Callithrix jacchus: one gene and its partner. The protein of the gene in region 1 interacts with the protein of each later gene in a pairwise test. Links are inferred from orthologs where the notes say so. Each region holds a gene or a part of one and is shown on either strand. Other genes may lie near its edges.

Evidence for each region.
Region 2: the proteins of BMX (region 1) and PTPN21 interact in binary tests that used the Homo sapiens proteins (3 or more experiments, as listed by UniProt). The link is inferred for Callithrix jacchus from reciprocal best matches to the Homo sapiens genes BMX and PTPN21.

What each region holds. Positions count from the first base shown.
Region 1 is NC_133524.1:15,845,170-15,853,153, forward strand, and holds part of BMX (cytoplasmic tyrosine-protein kinase BMX), read left to right. Parts: intron 1-1,400; coding exon 1,401-1,455; intron 1,456-2,737; coding exon 2,738-2,817; intron 2,818-5,640; coding exon 5,641-5,768; intron 5,769-7,984. UniProt on the Homo sapiens protein: Non-receptor tyrosine kinase that plays central but diverse modulatory roles in various signaling processes involved in the regulation of actin reorganization, cell migration, cell proliferation and survival, cell adhesion, and apoptosis.
Region 2 is NC_133509.1:123,397,778-123,405,861, reverse strand, and holds the start of PTPN21 (tyrosine-protein phosphatase non-receptor type 21), read left to right. Parts: upstream 1-3,690; 5' UTR 3,691-4,052; intron 4,053-7,252; exon of another isoform or gene 7,253-7,455; intron 7,456-8,084.

The DNA of each region.
Region 1 (7,984 bases):
CAATTCCTGATTTTCTTCCTTATATTCCCCTGTAGGTATATATCCTGTATAATATTCCCTGAAGGGCCTTTTGATTAGCTAGTATTACCTTAAAATGTTGACTAATAAGAAAAACCATCAGTTAATGTTTCAAGTGTTAGTTATACAGTATCCATAATGGTGGAGTTACAAGAGACTTTCAAACTTATCAAGATCAACCCTCTCCCTAGTTTTACAGGTGGGGAAGTCCAAGAGCAAGTGAGGCCAAGTGGCTTGTTCAAAGTCATACAATTACATATTGGAAGTTATGCCTAGAACCCAAACCTCCAAGCTGGCTGGCCTAAGACTTTTTTTTTTTTTTTGAGATAGAGTCTCACTCTGTAGCCCAGGCTGGAGTGCAGTGGCATGATCTCGGCTCGATGCAATCTCAGTCTCCCAGGTTCCAGTTCAAGCAATTCTCCTATCTCAACCTCCCAAGTAGCTGGGATTACAGGCACGAACCACCATGCCCCGCTAATTTTTGTATTTTCTAGCAGAGACAGGGTTTCACCATGTTGATGAGGCTGGTCTTGAACTCCTGACCTCATGATCTGCCCGCCTCAGCCTCCCATAGTGCTGGGATTACAAGCGTGAGCCACCGTGCCCGGCCTAAGGCTCTTCATACTTTATTGAACTGTTCACCAACTGACATCTCTTCCCAAAACTCATACAGAGATTATGCAGAGAATCACTTCCCATCCATTCCTGCCCAGTTCTTTGATATCTTCCGCATTGATTTTTTTCCTACAACTTACCGCTTCTACCCTCACTGTCCTCTTGTACTTCCTTCCTCTGCAGATGTTATCTTCTAGCCAGGGGGTCCTCCTACTCCCCCAAACCCATATTGTATCCAACCTCATGGCCTACTTTTACTCATTTCCTTAGTAGGAATTTCTGTCTAAAGCCCAAAGGCCACAGACATTGTTGCCCTCACATGAGAAACAGCTCTTGGCCTGTTGAGCTCCACATATAGTCAAAGCATTTGATTTGAAAATAGATGCTATAATCAGATTATTACAAGGAAATTATATGGTTGGGAGACAAGGGCTTTCATCCTTGGCAGCCCTGACTTTCCCATTGGAATATTCTTCTTAGATCTAATCTCTAGCCCTTACTCAAAACGATAAAATGTAGGAAAACTTAGAAGTCACCTAGAAGAAAACCAGAGATCACTAATGCCAGCCCATTTAAAAATTAGATGTGCAGGCCCCACCCCAACATCATCTGTATTTTTGAAAAGCCCCTCGAATGATTATCTTGAGCAGTTAGGGTTGGAAATCCCTGACGTAAGCCAATGACTCACTTTACAGATTAGAAAGTTGAGTGTCAAGTTATATAATCTAACACTTATTAATTATCAAACAATTTTTTGCCTTTTGCAGCTGGTTTGCTGGTAACATCTCCAGATCACAATCTGAACAGTTACTCAGACAAAAGGTAAATAGTCTTGTCTTGAAAACAGCCTCACAGAATCTCTTTGTATTTTGGGGCCCAGAGATTGATGCATTTTTCATAGAAACCTTGCTGTTAATTATATAGTCAAGCCATCGTAGTGCGGCTTATCTGGTCTGTGGGTTGCCAGACCCTTTATGTCTAGCCACTACTTCTGTGTCCATTATCTATTGCTGCATAATAAATCACTCCTAAATTTAGTGGCTTGAAACAGCGGGATTTATGATTTCTCATGATTCTGTGAGTCAGCTGGGCCAACAGTGCTTAGGCACGTTTTGCTTACGGGCACTCCTGTGGCTGCATTTGGCTGGCAGATTGACTGGGGGCTTGGGTTTAGCTGAGGCAGTCAACTGGAGTTCCACAGTTCTTCCCCAAGCAGCCTCTCCATGTGCCTTCCTTGGACCTCCTCACAGCATGGTGATTGATCTCAAGGCGGTGGTTGAAAAGGACGAGCCCCATGCAAGCACTTACCTAGTCTTTGCTTTTGTTGTGTTTGCTAAAGTCCCATTGGTCATAGCAAGTCACATGGCTCAGCCTAGAGTCAGTACAGGAGGGGACTGCTCAGGGCATGAATAAGAGAGATGATTTATCGGAGACCGCCAATGTAGCCATTAACTTCAGCTCTGTCACTGCTCATTGGCACCTAGACCAGAGTACAGCAGCTGTGACACAGAATATGTTTATCTGATTTTATTATGAATTGGTATGGGATACCAATAGCAAACTCTTTTGATCTCTAAAAATGACACTTTGATATAGTTTAACCTGATAAAAACACTAAACACTAAACTATTTCTTTGAGGGGTGCTAGTGAGAATGTAATGACTTCATTTGGTGTTTTGTCACATTCATAGTTTATAATCTGCTCTTTCTGAACGTTGATCTGCTTAGAATTAGCACAAGTCATTGAGAAAGACAACTTGAGTATAGAACTTTAAAAATAATTTATTCTGGATCTTTCGTTTTCTAAAACCTTCCAAGGGCATGATATGGTGATACATGATTCTAAATTTTGTTTCCTAAAGTTGAACACATTAGGCTTACATAAGCAAAACACCCAGAAAAGTATGTGCTAGGCTTAAACATTAACTGGAAGAGTTCATATACACTGGGCAGATCTATAAAGAGATTGAATGAGAAACCTGTGCCCTTTGTGACATATAAAGTCGATCTAAAAGATTTATTTTCCAACCGCCTACGATACAAAATCATTTTCAAGAATATTGAAAATATTTTCTGTTTCTTCTTAATTTTTCTTCCTTTTCAGGGAAAAGAAGGAGCATTTATGGTTAGAAATTCCAGCCAAGCAGGAATGTACACAGTGTCCTTATTTAGTAAGGCTGTGAAGTAAGTATGATAAGGATTTACGTCTTTTATCTTTCTGTGTATATTTTTTGAATATGCTGTTTATAATCACATTTTGAGATAAGACATAATCTTTAAACTCCGGAGTTTTAGATCAAAGTATTTCTGTTGAGTGTGAACATTTGTAGTTGCCTCCACCACCCTCACCCCACTGCGCCAGCACCCTTGCCCCACTACTTTCAAGAGGCCATTCTCTGGCTAACGCTCTCTTGCCCAACCCAGGCAGTAACAGAATGCCCAGAGCACAGCACGCCTCAGTAAATGTTTATTAAACGACGTCTGGGTGATTCCCTTTCATTCAGGTCTAAGCCTAGAAAGAAAGAAAATAGCAATGGAACCTCTATACTCTCAGCCCTAGCCACCTGCTGAGCAGAGAAGCCTACTCCGGTGTCTAGTTCTTAGTACTTCCACTGCCTGCAGAGTTAGCAGAAGGTTGACTCAGTGCAGCTGTGTTCTCTACACAGCTTCCTTCCGGGACTCTGTCCTCTTTGTGGTGTTAAAAGTTCTTGTTTGAAGCCAAACTTCTAAATCCAAATCCTGGCTCTACTATTTCAGGGTTTTGTGACATTGAGCAAATTTCTTAACCTCTGTGCTTCAACTTGTCATTTGAAAAGGGAACATAATGATTTTTATGTTCCATGAGTGAAGTGAGTTAATTCATATATTATATCCAGAACAGTGCCTGACACATAGTAAGCACTTAATAAACTAACAGTAATTACTATTATTTTTGTTGCTGCTGGGGAAGAGTAGTTCTCCCTGCTCCACTCCCTGTACCCTAACACTTGGGCATAAAAGACACCCCACAGTCACCTCATGCAAATCATCATGAGAATCCTCCTCCAGAGTTCTACAAGCCACTTTCTTATTGATAGTTAGCTCTTTTTTTCCTTTTAATCATCCTCCAAAGCAAATAGAAAATCTGTTTTTATTTACACCATATTGCAGATGAGAGGACTGAGGTTCAAAAAGAGCTTATAAAGACCTATTTGGAGCTAATAAATGACTAATTTGAAGCTGGGTTTCCAATAGCCAAGTCATGTTCCTTCATCTACACCTCTGTGTTTGCACTGAACCTCCAGTGTTTTGGAGTGAGAATCTGGTCAAATATCGATTAAGATCTTTTAAAAATTTCTATGTGTAGAACCCTTTTTTAGCAGCTAAATCAAATGATCATCTGCCTTGGTGCCTTCCTCGTGTGCCCTACCCCACAGTGCATATATGTAGATTTATAATAATTAAGTAATAGAAATGTTACTTTCTATTTTGGAATTTTTTACGGAGTGCCTACCTACACTTCAGATAACAGGACGTACTTTGAATTGTCCAACAGCACTTTCTAATGCCAGAATCCATGTCCCCAGTGTATCTCATATATTAGTTTGCGCCTGATAACACCTGGATGCTGGCTAAAGCCAACCTAGTAAGAATCAGGAGAAGAGTTTGTTTACTGAGTATCAAAAGCTTTGTGGCCCTCTGGCCCTGCAGTTTCAGACAAACCTCGTATCAGATGTCCTCCTAGTCGAGTTTCTTGACTCCAGATTCATTTTTTACAGTAGTCAGATAGATAAATCAGCAAATAGGTAAAAAATGAAATGATTACAAAAGCCCTCTTTTATGAAACCTTATCAATGGCCTTCGGTGAATTGTATGCTGACACCAAAGGCTGATTAAACATTTGCAGCAAAGAGAAGAACCTTTCTCCTTTTATACTTGCAATTTTTACTTGGTTGATGTTACAACAACAATTTTTAAATTTTTTTAGCTTTTAAGTTTATGGGTACATGTGCAGGTTTGTTATATAGGTAAATTCGTGTCATGGGGTTTCTTATAGAGACTATTTCATCACCTGGGTACTAAGCCTGGTATCCAATAGTCATTTTTCCTGCTCCTCTTCTTCCTCCCACCCTCCACCCTCAAGTAGGCCTCAGTGTCTACTGTTTTCCACTATGTGTCCATGTGTTCTCATCATTTAGCTCCCACATACAAGTAGGAACATGTGCCATTTGGTTTTCTGTTCCTGTGTTAGTTTGCTATACAGCAACAGTTTATTAACTGTTTCTTATATGCCAAGCATAACCACATAGGGTAGCTAGCAAGTGATAAAACTGAACTCAAAGCCTGACTCTTGATCACTATGTCATTGGCTGCAATCTAAGACAGGTGTACTATTCCTGATTAGCTTAAATCAACGTGCATCAATTCGCCATTATTTTATAAAAACAGAGGAAAAGAAGAGATTGTTTTTATGTGGAGAAGGTACAAGTTCACATGAGGAATTAAAAGACATCCCCACCTACTTCATCCTGCATGCTTCACTACCAAAAGAGCCTCCCTCCCATGTTTTGGGGTGAGAATACCCAACAGCCTAATTACCTTTACCTCCCTCATTTCCACCTCCATTATTATCCTATTAGAGAATTTCTGTTCAGAATAATGATCCTGAAGAACTACAAGCCTCTCGATCATCAAAGAAAGATTCCAATTTTATACACTTACTAAGGGAGGAGAAGCCCGGAAAGGTGGAATTTTACTGTACGTGAATTTTTAATTTTTTTAGCTTTTATGTTCATGGGTATACGTGCACAAAAAGATACATTGAGTTCAGAGAACTGTCTTCCATAATTACTGTTACGGTTACACCAGGTGTCAACACTGAGAAAAACACCAGGTATCAAGACTGAGAAACCCTCACTAACTTCCCTCGCCAAAATTTGCAAATACATCTAAAAGAATTATTTAACCCTTGCTTAATCAAGCTTCAATTTTTTATTTAAAATGTTCTAACATTTTTTCTGTTATTAGTGATAAAAAAGGAACTGTCAAACATTACCATGTGCATACAAATGCTGAGAACAAATTATACCTGGCAGAAAACTACTGTTTTGATTCCATTCCAAAGCTTATTCATTATCATCAACACAATTCAGCAGGTAATTTATTTTAATTTTTCTTTTATGGGCGTTTGTTGATAAATACCAATTTTCTTGGATACTACTGATCCTCCTGATATTCTTAATTATATAAGGAACCATGAAAGTAGGGAAAATGCTCTCAAGTCCTTTGCCTATCATAATTTTTAACTTACATTTTCAGGAATATAACATGATGCCCTCCTTAATGCCAGAAAGAATGAAATTAAGTAAACTGGGTGACTTGGAAAGAGAAAATCTCTTTATAAAAATATTTGTAGGGTTTTTCTGTGTATAAAAGCAAGAGGATTATAAATTTAAAATATTATGGAAATATAGATATCATTGGATATATGAAACAATTGTCTATTATGACAGGGTTTTTTGCATGCTGATACTAGAACTTACCAATTATTACATATATAAATAGAAATTATGTATTATGTATATATATATATTACATTTTTACAGAGATGAGATCATTCTACATATATTGTTCAGCTTGCTTTCTTTACTCAACATGTCTTAGAGGTCTTTTCATGCAAATACAAAGAGCTTACTTAGGTCTATTTAATAGGTGCATAGAATTCTTTTTTTTTTTTTTTTTTTTTTTGAGACGGAGTTTCGCTCTTGTTACCCAGGCTGGAGTGCAATGGCGCAATCTCGGCTCACCGCAACCTCCGCCTCCTGGGTTCAGGCAATTCTCCTGCCTCAGCCTCCCGAGTAGCTGGGATTACAGGCACGCACCACCATGCACAGCTAATTTTTTGTATTTTTAGTAGAGACGGGGTTTCACCATGTTGACCAGGATGGTCTCGATCTCTTGACCTCGTGATCCACCCGCCTCGGCCTCCCAAAGTGCTGGGATTACAGGCTTGAGCCACCGCGCCCAGCCCAGGTGCATAGAATTCTATCACATAGTTACCCCATGATTTATTCACCTAGCCCTCTATTGATTAGCAGTTGGATCATGTTTCTGTGCACAATTCTGCATGCATAGCTCTGTCCAACCATATGACTGATTCTATAGCCGAATCCCTAGAAGTGGAATTTCTGAGACAAAGGCTAAGAATACTTAAAAGGTACAGATTGCCAAATGCTTTTCAGAAATGTACAATTCCAGTAACAACAATTTCTCTCATCCTCATCAACATTGGGTGCTATTAGTCTTCTAAATTTTTGCCTAATCAACTGGTGGAAATACATCTAGAAATACCCTCTGTTTTCTAGAATAGTGCCACTTAAGAGCAGTGACTGAATTTCTAACAGTGATTAAAAATAAGCCATAAGCTCAGCATTTAATTTGTGCTACTTTATATGACTTGATTGCATGCATATAGGTGAATTGGCCTCACTTCTGGCTCTCATTTTGGTTCTTACTGTTGTGTTTCTTTTGCCCCAATTTCCTCAATTGTTTGTTTTAACCTTTAGTATCTCAGTAGTACCTTTTGGAAAAGGTATTGTACAAAGAGACCTCTCTAAGTGGAATGATTCCACTGCAGAGGATGCACAGGATATCTGAAGAAAATATTAAGACTTCTATTTACATTTGGATTTTTGCCTCATTCTCTTACATTTTCTGTTTGTGAGTGTATTTTTATAATCCACACCAAATATATATTTTATAGAAATGTACTAGTCTTTACATTTTAATTGATTAATTAATTTAGCTGATTAAAGGTGAAGGATTTTTATCAGAGAAACAAAAAAAAAAGATAAAAGTGAAGGATTTTAAAAATTTGGAGACTACTCATATAAAAATCAGACAAATATATAGAAAAAGGAAGGAGGGGAAAAGTAAATGTATGATAGGTCCCCTGACTTGGAGAGCATTTCACATTTAAAGCAAAAAACATATTAACATATGTTTTTAATGGGTTATTTCAAGCCACTATTAAATTTTATAATTATTTTAACCCAGTTTTACCATAACTCAATATAAACAATTAAAATGACCATTTATTGAAACTTAGTAATAGGCTCAGTTTTTAAAAATTCATATGGCTTATTATTTTTTATCCCCTGTATTGCTTGAATTTTTTGTCAAATGTATGTGCTATGTGTATACATATTTAAGTATTGGATTGTAAAGAGATAGCAAAAAAGTAAGGGGTGGATTTTAAAAGATTTCATCAAGCAACTAATTTCTATGGGATTTTTAAAAATCACATACAGTATTTTATTCATTTAACTTTTTCTTTGCATTGAGCTAATTAGTCAAGTTAAGCAAATTAAGA
Region 2 (8,084 bases), on another chromosome or scaffold:
CGGAGTTTCACTCTTGTTACCCAGGCTGGAGTGCAATGGCGCAATCTCGGCTCACAGCAACCTCCGCCTCCTGGGTTCAGGCAATTCTCCTGCCTCAGCCTCCTGAGTAGCTGGGATTACAGGCACGCGCCACCATGCCCAGCTAATTTTTTGTATCTTTAGTAGAGGCAGGGTTTCACCATGTTGACCAGGATGGTCTCGATATCTTGACCTTGTGACCTACCTGCCTCGGCCTCCCAAAGTGCTGGGATTACAGGCTTGAGCCACCGTGCCCGGCCCTTTTTTTTTTTTTTTTTTGAGACAGAGTCTTGCTCTGTCACCCAGGCTGGAGTGCAGTGGCACAATCTCAGCTCACCACAACCTGTGCCTCCCCGGCTCAAGCAATTCTGATGCCTCAGCCTCCCCAGTAGCTGGGACTACAGGCATGCTCTACCATGCCCAGCTAATTTTTGTATTTTTATTTTATTTTATTTTAAGTTCTGGGGTACATGTGCAAAATTTTTGTATTTTTAGTAGAGATGGGGTTTCACCATGTTGGCCAGGCTGGTCTTGAAATCCTGACCTCAGGTGATCTGCCTGCCTCATCTTCCCAGAGTGTGATATTACAGGATTGAGCTACTGTGCCTGGCCTCTTTTCCTTTAATCTTTTTGTCTTTCATCATTTTATATGCTGGGCTTTTTACATTTTAACTTATTTATTTTAGTAAGAATTAACTTCCAGTATAAATGTATAAATATGCCACCTTCTAGATAACAAGGGGGGTGGTAAAGATACATATATGTAGTTGTTTGTATCTCTGCAGAACATCTCTATAAGGCTGCAGAGGAATGATGGAACACTGGTTACCCACCCCCAGGGAGAAGAGCTGGGTATCTAGCAGGCAGAGTGAGAAGAGGACTTTTTACTTACACCCTTGTGTATCTTTGGGGGTGGAACCATACAAATTATCTCACTTCCTTAGATATGAAACACAAGCTAATAATAATTTTATGTCTAATACTTTGAAGGCGTTATTCAAGTGCCTTGCCATGAATGTTCCTGCCAAATTAACATGGTTGAGGGAGAATAGGGCTTAGGTACTTGGTTAGTAAATGACATCTGTGGACTTGAGGGAGGAAGTTCAACTCAGTTGTCTAACATCTCTTGGGTTTTACGGTCATTTTCTATTTAAAAAATTCTTTTATTTTCTTCCTGATTCAATTAACAAGTTTTTATTTAGTGCCTATTCTTTGCCCAGTACTGTCCTGGAAATTCTAGGAGATATAAAAGAAGCCTTCATGAAATAACTTTTAGTTCTTGCCAAGTGTGGAGATCACTGTGGAATGATATGTGGCTAGAAAGTCATCCTGGAAGCAGAGTCTTACTTGGAGAGAAGCAGCAAGGCTTAGACAAATGGAAGGAGGACCGGGCCGGGCACGGTGGCTCACGCCTATAACCCCAGCACTTTGGGAGGCTGAGACGGGTGGATCACGAGGTCAAAAGATCGAGACCATCCTGGTCAACAAGATGAAACCCTGTCTCTACTAAAAAAAAATATATATATATATAAATTAGCTGGGCATGGTGGCGTGTGCCTGTACTCCCAGCTACTCAGGAGGCTGAGGCAGGAGAATTGCCTGAACCCAGGAGGCAGAGGTTGTGGTGAGCCGAGATCGCGCCATTGCACTCCAGCCTGGGTAACAAGAGCGAAACTCCGTCTCAAAAAAAAAAAAAAAAAAAAGGAAGGAGGACCGGAGGGGCTGCTGGTGAGGGACAAAGCTTGATAGGGGCAGAAAGCCATATGAGTGGTCAGAGAGACCGGTTTGGAAAGTCCCTAAAGGTCAGGCTGAAGAAGTTAACCTTGGGAGTCCCTTAGGAGTGATAACTCAAGAGAGGGAAGCCTGGTATTAGCAAGGACATAAGAGAGAACTGAGAAACGAGATGCTAGGAGACCACCCTTGTTGCAATAATTGGATGTAAAATTATGACGGTTTGGATTTAGAATGTTCCAGAGGGAAGAGAAAGGAAAGAAATAATTCATGAGGCATTTCAAAGGAGGAAATACTAGGTTTTGATGACAGGCTGGAGATGAGAATGGGAGAAGTCACACATGATTCCAATTTTCCTAGCTTGGGAAGCCAGCAAAGTGACTTCTTTTCAGATCTTTCTTTCCTCACACACAAACTGACCCCCTCATAGAGTTCAGTTGAAATATCAATTACAAACAGAATTGATCTGTTTTTTCCCTTAGAAACACAATCTTATTTGCCTTTAGGTAAATGACCCAAGATGAACGTTGCTGGGCTTTGCTCTTGGGTATAACTCATACCTCTATGACAGTGCTCCTCACTTTGGCCTTGCACTGTGTGTGTGGTGTGCAGGTGCCTTTGTCACCCACTAGACCAAAAGTCCTTGTTGTGCAGGGACCACGTGTCATTCATAGATAAGTATTTAAAAGTTTTTTTTGGCTCATGACTGTAACCCCAGCACTTTGGGAGGCTGAGGCAAGTGGATGTCCTGAGGTCAGGAGATTGAGACCAGCTTGGCCAACATGGTGAAACCCTGTCTCTACTAAAAACAACAATTAGCCAGGTGTGGTGGCAGACACCTGTAGTCCCATCTACTTGGGAGGCTGACACAGTAGAATCGCTTGAACCCAAGAGGTGGAGGTTGCAGTGAGCGGAGATCACACCACTGCATTGTAGCCTGGGCGACAGAGGAGACTCTCAAAAAAAAAAAAGAGTTTTCGTTAATTGTTGAAGAAAATGAGATTTAAATGAAACATAATACTTAAACAAACTTTCCAGAAACAACAGCATTAAAACAAAATCATTGAAATTAAAATTTACATAAATTAAAAGGCTCTCTGTTCCACATGCCAAAAAAAGATCTTATACTCTATTGTAATAGTGTTAGGGTCACACAGCTTTATTCCTTAGCTTAGCTGTTGCAATACAATAATAATGCAGTGCAAAAATACTGTGTAATAAACGTCAATTAAATGAAACACTTCATATATACTTTACACAAGTTATTGGATATTGCTTAGTATTTCTTTTTCCCCCCTCTGCGGTGCAAAGATATTGTTTAATATTATCCCCATTTTCTAGTAGAGGAAACAGTTACAGAGAAGTTAAGAAATTTGCACAAGGTCACCTAGCTAGTAACTGTTGGAGCTGGGATTTGAACCCAAACAACGTAGTCGACTCTCCACCCTTAAGAGCTCTGCTCCCTATTATGTAAGCAGACAGCTCTCTTTTGGGGACTGACAGGTTATTTGAGGTATATGAACCATTTTTGGTGGTGGTGGTGCTGGGGGCTTTCCCACACAATACTGGAAGTGTCTAGTTATATGGGGCATAACCTTAGGAGCAAGCAGGAAAAGAAATGTATTCCAATAGTCTTCAGAAACATACCATAGTAAACGAATAACCATTAATAATAGCATTTTACAGCCTACCTAATAACACAAGAATAAACCCCTTTAACTGGAACCTAAACAATACCCCCTCCTCTCATTTTATTAAAAGCCTTGTTTTATTTGGAAACTCTTAAAATAAGTGGTCATACGATTAAAAAAAGCTGCGGCGCGCCCCCTCCCCGGCGGCCGGGCGCAGCTGTCCGCGCCTCCCCCGCGCGGCTGCCAGCATTCCAACTCTCTGAGGTCACGGGCCGCCGCCGCCGCCTCCCTGGGTCCGCCCGCCCGACCTAGGGGGAGGGACGCCCGGCCCGGCCGCCCGCTGCTCCGGCCGCGCGTCCCGCGTCGGTCCGACCGTCCGTCAGTCCGTCCTACTGCCTCCCCCCGCCCCCGCAGGGCTTCTTTGTGCGGCACTACTCGCCTGCAGGTCCACCCCCAGGCCTCGCCCCTCGCCATCGCCACCGCCGGACTCTGCCCAGGGGAATGGTCTGCGGGCCGGGTTTTTGGAGACAGGAAGTGAGGCGTGCGAGCCCCATGAGCGCGGCGCGGCGCGGGCTAGCGTGCGGGCGCGGCTGCGGCGGCAGAGCTGCGGGGCCCCGGGAGGCGGGCCGCTGAGCGGTGCGCGCGGCCCCGAGGATGCGGGAGCGCGAGCAGGTGAGGGCGCTGGGCTTGGCCGGCGGGAGGGGCGGGCACCGGCTGGAGCGGTGGGGTGTGTCCGCTCGCCGGGACCCCGGAACGCGCCCGCGGCCCCGGAGTCCCGGAGGATGGGGCGCGGCTGCCAGACTCACAGCGGGAGCGTTAACAAAGACAAAAGTTTTCCTTTTCCAGATTCGCTCTCATGTACTTGAGTAATTTCTAAAAGGGGTCTGGAACTTCTATTCTGAACGCCCTGGCCGATTGTTGCGGGTTAATTCTGGATCGGGGTTTTAAATGGGTTAGGCATATTTGTGCCTCTCAGAATATGTAAACGTGAAATTCGCCAGATAACTTTGGCGAGAAGGGGCGCAAGGAAGGGCTGTTTGGTAATGCCTGGTTCGTTTTTGGAGTAGTGTTTATTCTGGAAGAGAATTCTTGGATCTGCAAATTCCGACTGGTGATTTCTGCAAATCCTGATTAGATTGGCCGCTCTTGGCATGTTCGTCCTATTTTCTTTTTTGCTGAGAAAGCCTTACAATAATAGAGTATGCTCGCAAACACATTGAAAACATTCGTGTGCTCCAAGTGACAACTGCTATACGCCTCTTAGTTGCTGACAGTTTATTTTTTTAAGTTTGGAATACCAGAGTAATTTTACTCTGAATATAGCTGTCCGTTTTGTTTCTAGGGCATTTTATTCTGGAGCATCTACGCACAAATGTTTTCTCCTTGGGAAGCATGGGTTTGATTTAATGCTATAGATATTACCCTAAATATGTCACATACTCTCTCTTTTTAGTGTTCATTTTGTTTTAAAGCAACCTTGGCAAAATTACGTAAGGACCTTAGGAAAGGGGAAACGCTGTAAGATTCAGAGGTAAAGTGTATTTGAGAAACTTTTGGAAGGGGATGTAGAGAGGAAAAATTAAAATGAATTCACAAATAGTTGAGACTGCCTTTTGTAAACTTGTACTGAAGCAGAATCTAGTATGTATCCGTTTATTTACTACAAAACAGATTTTGTAGAGAAACAAAGTTATCCTAGTTTTCCTTTATTAGCTATTTATGAATTATGTTTAATTTAGTAAATTATAATTCCAGACCCAACCATTTCCAGATTATTGCATATTATTTTATACCTAAAACAGACCTCCCCAAAGAACTCTTAAATTTCTACTCCTCTTGGTTTTATTACCTTCAGACATTCATAACTGTATTATATCATTTGGCAGCAAATACTGAATATTACTGAAAATTAAGATGTGTAAATCATTGATTAGTTTGTAAATTATTAAACAAAAACACTGTTTTAGCATAGTGGGTCTTATATAAATAAGCAAAAAGCAAGGCATTCTTATGGATAGATTTTGTGTGGGGGGGTGCACCATACACACACACACACACACACACACACACGCAGCAACTTTTTCAATTTCATCAATCAAAATAAGAGATAACTTTGACTTTTTCTTTATCCCTGATGCTGTAATGCATTTCAAATCTAAGGGACAATGGAAAGTTTTACTGAGTTTGCTTAAGCAGAACTTAAGTTAATAATTAAGTTACAGTGTAGTATCTATCGCTTTCAAGGCATAGTTCCATGTAGTGAAAAGACTACCATATTTGAATGGCACCTAATACAAATATTGATCTTTTCTCTACACATATGCTATATCTTATCTTTTTGTCTACACTACTAAATCCGTTCAGTTTCCAGTTACCATAATTTTTATATAAAATTGAAACCCACCATCTGATCCCATGAAATGGTGTTTAGAATGCATGATATTTATAATCCTTAACTATTTACACTCTTGGTTTATCAGTTTTCTAGGTAAAAGCTTATTATTTAAGGTTCTCATTTGCTAATTGCTTTTCATCTTGCTTTACTTAGTTTATACCCCTGAAATAGCAAAGAGCATTGAAAGGTACTGGAAGTGGAAACCGTGTCTTTTAATATTTATTTTCTGTTTCCCTCCATAGTGTGGTGGTTTTACCTGCAGAAAGCAGTCAGCAAATGCTGTTAATTAACACAGTGCTTTAGCTATTTCCAGCTTTGCTTTTTTCCTCTGGCCTTCCCCTATCCCTTGTTTTTAACATTTTGATTTTCCTGGCTATGGGGAATAACCAGAGTTCAAAACAAAAAAACTAGCCAGATAAAACCGTGGTTGGGTCCTTATTAGAGATACAGCTCTGTATGTAATTATAGCATGGTTGTAATCTCCTTAAAGACAGCGACGGCTTAGGATTCGTCTTAGATTTCTCACGATGCTCATTATGCTGTCTTGTACCCAGAGAGGCAATACACATTTGTGGAATGGAATTTCAAACTGTTAAGTTTGGCAAAGCCGAGGGTAGTAGCCGAACTCTTTTCTCCAGCTCTGCCATTCCCTAACCCTGACTGCCCATCGCCTCTAGGCCTGAGACACAGTCAGGAGAGCAGGACCCAGCAGAGGACTGGGAGTGTGGAATTTGGGATCGATTCACAGCCCAGCCCGTCCTAGCGTGAAACTGCGAAGTAGCTTCTCTTTCTGAAGGTTGGGTTCTGCGTGCCAGATGAAAGGGTCGGGGGCACATTCTGCCCCCCTGCGCGGTCCCGGGCCCGAGCTCAGCGTAGCCAGCCATAGCTGGTTCTCGCTAAGCGATTCATCCCCAGCAGGCAACCTCTGCTCAGAAGGAAGTGGGGCGTCCCGGGACCCTGGAAATATCCGGGATTTTGTAGACTTGTTTAGGGGGAAAAAACTAATTCAGCTGATGTAAAAATCCCCAGCTGTTATAAGCTTTATCAGTGAAATGGGAAAAAAAAAAAAAAAATCCCCAGCTGGTGCTCGCCCTCATTTGTCTCGGCCCAGAAGTTACAATGAATTGGTCTGGTTAAAAACTCAACAGAGCCCTGCGTGGTGGCGCGCGCCTGTGGTCCCAGCTAGTCGGGAGGCTGAGGCTGGAGGATCGCTTGAGCCTAGGTGTTCGGGGCTGCGGTGAGCTGCGATGGCGCCACTGCACTCCAGCCTGGGTGGCAGAGCGAGACCGCGCTCTACGAAACACGTTTTAAGTAGCGTATTTCGGGGTGCTGTGGCTCCAAAGCCGGCATCGCGCGGGGCCCGCCCACTCTCTCCACCGCCTGTAGGTCTCGCGCTGGTCCCTTTAAATGGTCCCTCCGGGAGCCGAGGGACCGGTCCCTTTCAGAGCGCGTCCGTCCAGGAACGCGGCTGCAGAAAGAGAGTTCCGGGGCCTCCTAGGCTACTGGTTGGCCTGGCAACGCCGCGTGCTCTTCCCGAGGGAAGGACGCGGGAGAAGCCGGGGCCTGAGGTCTCCAGGGCCCCGTGGGCTTCTTGGGTTTGCTGCCCCCCGGCCGCTCATCAACTCAGGATGGCTTGGAAGGCCTCGCCCGTCTCCTTTTCTGGGCCGCGGCCCCCCTTAGGTGAAGGCTTGTTTGGGCGTCCCCATCTTGGAGAGGGGCGGGGCCTCGCCTTTCAGAACTGCCACTCTTCTAGTGGTAATTGGATAAGGAGCATTTGTAGGGTCTTTTATGAAGTTTATCAGTAAATCAATTTGATGGCGTAAATACTTCCACAAGCGCTTGTTAGACAGCTCACCGTGTTTGAACCACACACCTGCCATTCTTAGTGGGGATTATTCCTCCCATTCGCCTTCAGAGTTAATTTTCTAAAGCGATTGGGACTGGAACCTAGTTCTTTTTCGGGTATTTTGCACTTTTCTCATTGAAGGATTAAAGAACTCTGACATTTGGAGTATTACAGCCCCAAAGAGTTACTTACGAAAAAACATCCAAAATAGGAGGAGGACTACCAATGCTAACTAGTAAATTTGGGATTACAGTAGTGCTGGCCATTATCTCATTTAAGCCTGATGATAGCCACAGTTTGCTATCACTATTTGTAGGCAAAAGTGAAGGGTGGAGCCTGACCCTGGTCCCAACGCACCTCTGAGATAAAAGTCCACCCTGCCTCCCGGGTCCTATTAGTGCCTTCTTTTTCCAGCGGAGAGGGACGGCTTACTCTTTGGACACAGCTTGATTGGCTTTTCTTT